Tribolium castaneum: one gene and its partner. The protein of the gene in region 1 purifies or fractionates together with the protein of each later gene. This does not show direct contact. Links are inferred from orthologs where the notes say so. Each region holds a gene or a part of one and is shown on either strand. Other genes may lie near its edges.

Region 1 (5,691 bases):
AATAAAGGTTTGATTATTCAGGGTGTTTACGGTCTTGGGATTGAAACTTAAAGGGGATGATATAAGTTATAATTCACATTGTAACAGAAAATCATTCAATTTGCATTGTTTGTGAATTGTTGCTTCGACTACAACAATTGCAATTATTACCTTGTGCTTCGTTGTAAGTTCTAATCATGACAATGAATTAATTATTTCAGTAATTGTAGTCCAGGGCAGTGGCGGCTCGCCTGGGGAAATACGTGAAGTGGCATTTCACCTAAAATCTATACTTACACACAGAAATATTTAATAAATTCTAATAAACTAAATTTACAGTAAAAAGTACATTAAACACGTCATAACACATTCAATTTTTTTCCAAATTAAAATATTCCATACTTTCGCATGCGTATTTTGTTTCGTTGCCATGACAACGCCGACGACGCCGACTTGACTATAAGCGTATGTTCGGGCGTATCCAGTATCGGAGTATTGTATAGAGCTCAATTTCACCCAGTTTTCGTGTTCGCGTTGAACGTCTCTATTATGATATGACTATATTTTAATTTCTAGAAACTTCACTTTTAAAATAAATCCTATAAACAACACTGAGCCTTATTCTGTACGAAAAACTAGGAGCCGGTTTACAGAACATTTTAATTGCAATTACATTTTAATCACGATTAACTTGACATTTGTCAATGCATTTTACATTTAAATGGCAACTTAATTCGAATTAGTTTAATTCTAAATTAGATCTTAATTTCACTTTCTGTAAACCGGCTTTAAAACTGTTTTAATTGTTTTTAATTTAAGGAGCTTTAGTTGTTGGTACAACGATAATCAACAAAATTGCTAGGTTTGCTATTTTTTGAAATGTGTCAAATTTTAACAGTCCTTTAATAAAATTACAGAATAGGTCTTAGTGTGTGCAGTTTGGTAAAAACAGTTTATTTATGCGTTTGTTATGTAATTACTACTTAGTGTTGGTACAGTTTTTTGTTTTAATAAGTACTTCCACTAAAAATTTACGATATGATTCGGTAAATGATCTCTTTACCTATTCTTAGGGTTAAATTAAACGTTAGAACTATCATAACTTCACAAAAAAATGTAAAACTTTTAGCTCTTCATCTAGTTTTGAACGCCTCCACAAAACACAAATTGAACTTGCTCAAAACGATTTCGGGTTAAATTCAAATTCAAATTTTGATCAAACTAAAGTATTGCTGTTTCAGAACAATAAAAACGCCAACGTCGCATTTTCTCTCAAAATTAGCTGTTAGAGTTTATTCCAAAAATGAGTGAATTTTGGCATTAAACATACATAGGTAAACATTTACTATTGAAAAAAAAATGACCATAGGCGTCGTTATACAATGTCTGTCAAATCCACTGTTAGTATTTAAAAAATTGTGGTAATTAAGTACTGTGAAAAATAATAAACAAATTATTAATAATAATTAATAGTGATATTTCTACCTTTCTCCGTTCTCAAAATTTATTAATGTTAAAATGAGAACTAAGTAAACTTTACAGAAAAAAAATGCACGCCCATGTATTTTTATGTCACTGTCAGTTCGCCACCAGATATGGAACAACCTCTATAAATTATTCATGCACTTCAAAAAAATAATAACTAGTGTAATTTATACTTTCAATGAGAGATCTAATCATTAATAACTATTTTACAATTTTATCAATAGTATTTAAAAAAATAATTCGATAAAATGCGACGTTGGCGTTTTTATAGTTTTGAAACAGCTAATAGAGGCAAATGAAATTAATGTACAATTAAATTTTATTTTAACAGAGAAATTATTCCGGTGACCCTCAAACCCCGTACCAATACTTCGGAGTTGAATAAAATTCTTAAAAATAAAAATTCCCTGAGTGTGTTGGCAGTTATCTCATTTCTACACTCTTCTGTAAACACACTGTATTGTACTGCAACCCTCCATTCGAATTTGGCGCCACACCCCGTCCAGATGGCTCTGCCATCACAAACGCCCTCACGTCGCCATCTTTCCTTCTTGTTTATCGCCGATTTCGTCCACTTTCCAACACGAAACGATGTCCAACAGCCGCAACGACTGCCGAATCTACGTCGGGAATCTGCCCCCGGACATCCGCACCAAAGACATCCAAGACCTGTTTTACAAATTCGGCAAAGTTACATTCGTCGACTTGAAAAACCGACGGGGACCTCCTTTCGCCTTCGTCGAGTTCGAGGACCCCAGGTAAGCCCCCATGTGGCCTCGAAACCCTCTCAGTGTGCTGATTTAGGGACGCGGACGACGCCGTACATGCACGGGACGGTTACGACTACGACGGCTACCGCCTCCGGGTGGAATTCCCGAGGGGCGGCGGCCATGGCAGCTTCAGGGGTGGCCGCGGCGGCGGCGACAGGGGACGCAGCTCCAGGGGGCCACCAGCTCGCAGGTCGCAATTTAGAGTGCTTGTGACAGGTGGGTTTGTTAATTTGATTTGTGTTTTCGTTTTTTATCGCGAAAATCATTCGAAATATAATAGGAAATAAAGGTCGGAAAAGCGATTAAAAGGAAAGTCATTTAGTTTTTATTTACAGAATTTTTCGAAATTACACACAAGGGTATTTTAGCATGTGTGGCTGCCACCTACGATTTGATTTTTTAAATTGTGAGGTTGTGTTTTCATTGCATCGTTTCTTGAATCGTCAATAATTTATTATTATTATTACATTTTTGTTTTTTTTTTGTAAACTATAAGATTAGAGCGAAAATAAAAAAAGCATGAAAATACATTTAAAATTGTCTTATCTTTTCGTAAAAACATATGGGCTGTTCGTTTTTATTGTTACAACTTTTAAACAGGTGATAGCACACTCAATTTTAGGAGAAAAGTTTCCTACAAACATGTATCGAAGAATATTTCATAAGGGGTGTTCCTTTTAGTGTAATTTAATTTCCCCAATATTTCAGAAACCATGGCATATAAAAACACAAAATTTGGTACAGATAATAATCTCTGTACGTCTAATTGAATTCGAACACCAAATGTACATATTTGTAATCAGGGACGTCCCAAATTGGGGGGTGGAGGATAAAAAATACCCCAACTATTTTGGCTTTCGTTTTTTGACAATTTTAGAAACGAAGGCACATTTCTTATGGGAATTTAAGGACCACTCAGATTGAGTAATTTTTATAATATCAATCGATGCGTCTTAAAAAGCTGAACAAATCATATCATTGCGTCAAACGTGTAACTTAATTAGGAATGCCGGAAATTGCAATCGAATTGAAGATTTGTCCCATAATAAAAGCATTGGGGCGGCTTTTCGGTGAGAGCTTGTAATCCAGATTGGGGGTCAGGTATAGGGAACAGACACTTTTATGGAAATAGGGATTTAAGCTGACAAGTTATATCTCCAACAATGAAGTGTTATACTCGAAAATAAAAGTTTTTGGAAATTGTAGATTCTGAAAGTAGACACAAAATGATGTCTAGTAATATCGGTCTGAGTTTTTTTAAATCGGTACTTTTTTAGTAATAATAGAAAATTCGCGCTGTGACGTAAGCAATGTCTCGACTAATGATTCGTCAGTCTTTTGCTGCATACAATTAACGCTACGACCTACGTTTGGGTTGGTAAACGTTAAATATAAATGTCAAAACCGTGCGTTGTTGATTGTGACTGTTGTGTGCTAATATTTTGCAGGAGTTTGTGTTTTGGTAAAATGACTGCTCCTGCAGCACATCTGAAGTCGTATGTAAAACAACAGAGGCAGAAATTAAGAAAAAACGGACCACTAGAACCAAATTGAAATCTACGTCTTTTTGGCTTAGGCCGCATTTGTAAGAAAATGTCGACGTTTTGTCCGTTCTTCCTCGGGACAGGTTCTGGTCGCGAAACCTTCTGTTCATCCCTGATTTTCATGTTATTTATGGTCTGTAACATACTGTTTATTAAGAAACGGTTAGTTGTATAGAAATAACACAAGAGACCATTTTTATGGAAAAAACTATGGAATTTACTATTTTGTTATTAAATTGTCAGAAAACTAAAACCAAAATAGTTAGGCCTGATTGCTCAGTTCAAGCTGAAGCTTTCGCTTACATGAGGTCGGTTTATATTTAAACTAAGTTTAAACCGTAGTTGTGTTGTTGAGTGGAAAGTTTAGCTAAACCGCGCTGAACTTGTCACTTACGGGGTTGGTAGTTCTGAACGCTTGCGCACTTCAAGTATGAGGTTGCTTGACGAAATTTTAACAGTTCTGATTTTGAAAAGTTAAGTTAATATTTTGGTACATTGTAGGAATAATATTGTTATAATGATATTTATGCTTCCTTCTGAAAAAGAGCAATTTATCGTTTTCTGTCTTTTCTTTCAAAACACAGCAATAAACTGATTTGCACAGTTTATTTGTTGCTTTTGTGCATTTGAAGACTTGGGCGTCCTCACTTTTTAAAACTATGCTGTAATTAAAATCACATAATATTTACTTAGTATCAATAATTCTAACAACATTATTCCCCTGACTGTCGGATTTTGCTGCAGCAATTAAAAAAGTTACTGAAATAAGAATAAGTAAATTATTATCATTATACTTTTTTTTTAGTTTTTTTTTAAATATAATAATAATATATTAACTTACATGTTGTCTATTCATTACTGTCATTGTTCAAGTTTATTTGTTTAATTCAAACTGAACCGAAATTTATTTAAAAAAACTGTTTCTGTGCATCATTTTTGAATCCGGAAATTTAATAGTTCTTCATCATTATTGTTAAAAGCAATTTTTTTCCACATTTGTGAAAGTAAGTAGTATATGGGCTATATGGCGCTTCATGAGTCTGTTTTTTCTAACATTGTTGGTCTGCGTATTTTATGATTTTTTTAATTGTCATATATTTTTCGTAATTAGCAGCCTCTCTACGGGTGTCTTTTGTTGTATTAAATCTTCGAGCAATTTGGGCCCATGTTCCATTTTTTTCACCGAACGTAATCAAGTATCTTTTTTATAATTTTGAACAAAATTGACCATATTTTTTTTGCGTTTAAAATTGCTACTTCGGTTTCTTTAATTTATCTGTTAACGATTTCAATAAAATTATAAAGTTATGTATATTAATAACGTTAATATTAAAAATGTTAAGCGATAAGCCAATGCTTAAGCGGCCAACATCGACCGGTTAGTTAAACCAATACTAAGCTTTAGCTTAGTCGATATTTCGTATCTGACCACACGGTGCCCCTAGTTTGGGACACCTCTCATTAAAAATTCCTACATTTGATCCTTAAATTCGATTAGGCGTATGAAGGTTATCAATTGTACCAAATTTTGTATTTTTATCTGAAACGGTTTCTGAAATATTGAGGAAAACCTACATGTTTATAGGAAATTTATGATTAAAAATAAATGTTCTATTACCTATTATACAAATTTGTAACAATAAAAACAGAACAGCCTGCATATCGGGCAATAACTCCGGAAGTATTAGACGTAATCTTATTAAGTTTATTCAAGTCAACCTCTTCATATTCTACTATAAAAATGGCCAGCTGAATTCAAACTTGGTCGCACATCTCTCAATGATGAGTTTTGTGAAGGATGACCAAAACAGTAACCACGGATAAAAACCTCAAAAAAATGCAAATTTCGATATTGGATAATCAGCGAATGAAAGTGTATGAGGTAGCTAAGGTGATAGGGATATCTGAGAAAA
Region 2 (4,928 bases), on another chromosome or scaffold:
TGTTTTTAATTTTAAATGTCCCAATCTTTTATGTCCACCGCTAGATTTATACCAAATTTATACCAATTATTACAAAAATTATACCTTTATTACAAAAATTATTGTTAAAAAAATTAGAAAATTAATTTCAACTCACCATGACTTTATTAAAGTTGTACATACTTATCAGTTATCATGACTTTACGTTTAACCGCCCTAATTGTTAATTTTAATATTAAAGAAGTCAAAAGAACATTTATATCTCCGGAACTTATTTAAAAAGCCAAAAACGTGACGAAATAGAACTAATTACGAAACATTAATCCACTCCAAGCTATTTTTTGAGATGACATTAATTAATTTTTGTTTCCATTTTTATTAGCCCTCGAAATGTTTGTTTCAAAGGAAAATACGCTGCGATTTCACTTCGAACTTTTCAGTAATTGAAAACTGCAATAACTTGATGAGTGTTACAAATAACAAAATAATTCTTGAACTAAAAATGTATTTGAAGTGTTTTCATCTCGATTATGTAAGGGTTCGCGTTTTAAAATAAAAAAATTAAAACTTTCTCACATCTCAAAAATTTCACAGCACGTACATTTTTTCAGTTTTCTCTTATCAAAACCCAGCCTTGTGTAAGAACGTTATTTAGAAGGAAGATATGAGGATGTAAACGCACAATTTGTCCAGTTTTAGGTTTTTAATTTTTTTGCTAAACGGCCATTCCAAAAATAAAACCCTACACCGAAATTTTCAAAATAAATTTAGTAAAGTTTCTTTCAAAATACACAATTCGGTTAATACTTAATGTTGATGCTGTACTTTCTACTGATACTATTAAAAAAATTGAAAATAAAATCTTAAATTTTTTGCAGTGTCCAGTTAAAATATGTACACACAGTATTAATACAATTTGTCTTATTAATTATTATTACACTTAAATAAATAATTTAGAAAACACTGGTGTCTTTATTATTAAATTCTCCGTAAAAAAGTGGCTATCTTAATTTTTAGAATACGAAATTATGAATGTTTTGTCTGAAATTATTTACTCAAAAGCATAAAATGTGACAAAGTAGTAGCAAAAACCAATGGATCAAACAAACCTCGTTATTCCTACCTTGTAACAACTAGTTATCTCACAGATTATAACTTTTGTTGATGACATTTTATCCATAATCTTACACAATGATTATTGTTGCGGCATTTAATGTTATTCAGTTTGTTACTGGCTGTTGTCGTGAGTGAACGTCTCATATAAAATTTAACATACTTTGATATTGTTAAAGTCTTTAATAATTAAAACCTATGTGATTAAATTTTCTGTACTTATTTTCACACACAAGATTTTTTTTCTGCCGACAGTTATGTGTAAACAAAAAATTTCGTGGTTCGTGGTTTCAGTTTCAACAAGTTCCACCTTTTACTTCAAAAATAATTCTTGCAATTAGTGCCTTTAAATTAGCAGAATTTTATAACGATTGTTCATCAATAAAAATGTGAAATTTTTTTTGTCCCGTCCGTCATCGATTTGTATTTCTTTTCCTGTTCGTATTTAAAATTTTACAAATGTGACTGTAATTGTAGGTTGCAAACAGTTTGACTACTACTAGGTTCCGAAAAAAAAATCACGTCTACTGACCTTGTTCATAAAACTTAAAATAAAATCTAACAATTTGTGCAAAGTGCCCTAAATTCAAATTTAGCTGAAAAATCTACAGAACAATCAAGTGTTTTTGATGTTTTTTTTTTAAATTGTACATTAACATTTAAGCACCCAAAGCTCTGTTAATTTGAATAATATCAAAAAAAGTCGAGAGAACATTTTTGCGTAAAATTAAATGCTTTATAATTTTCATTTAATACATTTTTTTTTCTAACTCGTACCGAATTTGAGTAATCTTTAAAAAACACTTCTTTGACTACGTTTTGCAATACTTGTATCCCCTAGATTTTGATATAAAGACTTATTTGACCGGACTAATTACGCCAACCCCACCTTTGAAATTAATCCCATCAAAAGCCATCGCTTGCGTCGTCTCATCAATCGACCTAAACTCCAAAAAGGCGAAATTCTTGTCCAAATTAATCTGGCACGCCAGCACCGGATTCCCTGCAGCTTGCGCCAAGCCACTGAGATGCATTTGCTGGTTGAAGAACTCCATCATCTCCTCCTCAGTGACCCCGAAGGGGATATTCCCCACATACAGCCGCCTCGCCTGTCTCGTAATAGTCGACCCGACGACAGGCACAGCCGCTTGGGGCGTATCCGCCACGATGTTGGCCGGGATCTGCCCCGCGGCCTGCATGGCTTTGTACTGCAAGGGGGTGATGTGCTCGAACCCGGGCGGGGGCACGTCCCAGTACAGCGAGGGCTTGCGCCTCCGCGAGTGGCTCTTATGGCGACTCCTAAACCCCCAATTAATCCACGAAACCAAGGCGAAATACTCACGTTGAGCGGCTTTTCCGGCGGCGGTCCCGGGACCTGGAGCGCGACCTCCGGCGGTGCTCCCGGGAGCGGGAGCGCCGTCGGCGGTCCTTTTCGCGGTCCCCGCGCTCCCGGCTCCGCTCCCGCTCGTTGTTTTTACCGTCTAGAGGGGTTAGAATTGGGTGAAACTCGCCGGTTAAGTGGGGCCCGGACTCACCTTTTTCCTCCCCCATTGTGGAACAGTAGCACAATTAGGTCAAATTTTACAAAAATTAAGCACAATTTGGGTCAATTAACTCAAATGTTTGGTTTGTTTTTAACACAACTCACAAAACGTTCAAAATGGCGTCAATTAATGTCAAGGGGATTGTGGGTACCTGTCGGTAATGTCGCAAACTGTGTCGTTTGAATTACGATTAATTTAATTAATTATTTACAATTACGGTCTTGCTTAACTTGTTATTGTTAATTGTTTGTAAAAGTACGATTGTCGTGCGGCGGTAAAAATATTTTGCTTGATTGACGTAAACAGAGTCGGACTGTTTTTCGGAAAATTACCACAGGGCCGGCTTCAGCCGAACCAATCGATCTATTAATAAAACACGTTTTGTTAGATTAGTGTGTGCATACATTGTAAACAAACCGAAAAACATATTTTGTAACAATAAGACTAAAAACACTTTCAAAGCGGCGATAAATTAATACAAACAATTTGTATTATCAGTATCACTAAAAATGTCGGTGAACTTTTGCTTTGTTACCAAGCTGGTGGCAATTAATACTTAATAATAATAATAAACTTTATTAAATATAATGATACATTTACAAAAGGGAACAGTTCGCAGATGCTATCTTCCATTGGCCCTTTCATTTTTGCACAAAATTTGATAATAATCACACATCATTAGAGATGTGACCAGTTTCAATTTTATTTATGAATCTAAATGCCTAAACTACTAAAAATACGAACTAGATTACAAATTTTGAAAAATTGGAATAATTAGGATTATATTCATGACGTCACTTGATAGAACACATGATAATTGTTAGTGAAAAACATATGACTATCCATTAAACAGTCATTAGTCTGACAACTACTGTCATGGTAAAATTATATGAAACAGCCTGTACATGCTCATCAAAGCACTATTAAATTACTAAATTTTTCCTAGTAAGTTTTTGGTTATATAAATTCAGTTGTTGATTATTTTCAATCAAAGATTGCCGTCTGACAGTTGTTTGCATTTAGATTTACACCGTGTTTTTTGTATATAGCTTTATAGTTTTGTCATAATTGAATGGAAATGTCAGATACAAATGCATATCGTTAGCATACATGTGAATTTTACAGTTAGTTATATAATTAGTAAGATCAAAGGTATATAACGAAAACAGCATCGGACCCAATACACTGCCCTGTGGTACCCCCCGTTTTAATACAGGGTGATTCAAAACTACCATACAATCTCTCGAGTGTTGAGAAAAGACTGAATTAAAAGTTCCTATGGCAAAAAAATGTTTAAGCTTTTTTTCACGAGATATAGCTCCTCGAAGTTAATTTTTTATGTTAATTTTTTGGTGCTTCAGATCATATTTTTTTTTAAACAAATAGCTGTTGAAAAAAATAACAATTAATATCTTTATGATGTCCAAAACAATGAAAAACTTGTAAATTCGACAATAAATTAAATTCGACATCCTAAGAAACAACAAATATATATAAGAAAGTTACTTGAAAAAAATCTGACTTTATTTAATAGCTTAATAGAAGTCTTGTGCATTACTATGTATAGACTGGACTGCTTTTATGGTAACTTCATTATTTATTACTGAAAATTTGAAAATGCAAGCGCACTGCCCACTAGATGAATGTCACGCTTATAGATAATTGAAAATCGCTAAAAAATATTAAGTGGTACCAGGTTCCATGAAACGTGTCCGATAATTCCGTATAATAAGACAAACAGCGATAAGAGCTGAGACGAAGAATTATTTTGAAAAAATTCAGATTAAGTAATTTCGCGGAAAGTGGGTACACCACATATAAAGATCATATCTTGCCATGAAGAGATTCATGGCTTGCTTGATAGCCGGCCGACATTCACCGATCAGCTTGTGATTCGTAAAGACGCGGATTTGAACGCGCTTTTATATTATTTTTCAATAAGTGAGTCTGTGAAATGGCTTTCCTGAAAAGCATCTGGAAAAACAACGGCAAACACCAAAGTAAGTCAAAATATTTCTGTCGCATTTTTTGGGACACAAGTCACAATAGCTGTTATCGCAGTATTATTAATAAGAGATTGTTTACTTTTGGAAATTTATCGGAATCCTGGTACCGCACGGTACCGCTCGGGAAACACATATCTTGCGGCAATTTTTTTTCTTAATGAATTTTATTGCATCATTTGAAGGTGAGCCCCTAAAACGCATGATGCAATGCGGGTGCAGAAAGTAAAATGCAAATTCTCCGTCTGGGTTGTAATTACCGAGCGGAAAAAACGCCTTAATGATAGAC

What was found. The genes of interacting proteins can lie anywhere in the genome.
Region 2: the proteins of SF2 (region 1) and U2af50 purify together in Homo sapiens (affinity purification with mass spectrometry; 4 studies listed by BioGRID and IntAct, counting the BioPlex papers as one, with this or other methods). This does not show direct contact. The link is inferred for Tribolium castaneum from reciprocal best matches to the Homo sapiens genes SRSF1 and U2AF2.

Annotation. Positions count from the first base shown.
Region 1 is NC_087401.1:8,587,198-8,592,888, reverse strand, and holds the start of SF2 (serine/arginine-rich splicing factor 1A), read left to right. Parts: upstream 1-1,966; 5' UTR 1,967-2,055; coding exon 2,056-2,222; intron 2,223-2,268; coding exon 2,269-2,450; intron 2,451-5,691. UniProt on the Homo sapiens protein: Plays a role in preventing exon skipping, ensuring the accuracy of splicing and regulating alternative splicing.
Region 2 is NC_087399.1:6,082,700-6,087,627, reverse strand, and holds the start of U2af50 (splicing factor U2AF 50 kDa subunit), read right to left. Parts: upstream 2,801-4,928; 5' UTR 2,644-2,800; coding exon 2,628-2,643; intron 2,574-2,627; coding exon 2,435-2,573; intron 2,392-2,434; coding exon 1,982-2,391; intron 1-1,981. Other genes in the region: low density lipoprotein receptor adapter protein 1, read left to right, coding at 4,591-4,636. UniProt on the Homo sapiens protein: Plays a role in pre-mRNA splicing and 3'-end processing. By recruiting PRPF19 and the PRP19C/Prp19 complex/NTC/Nineteen complex to the RNA polymerase II C-terminal domain (CTD), and thereby pre-mRNA, may couple transcription to splicing.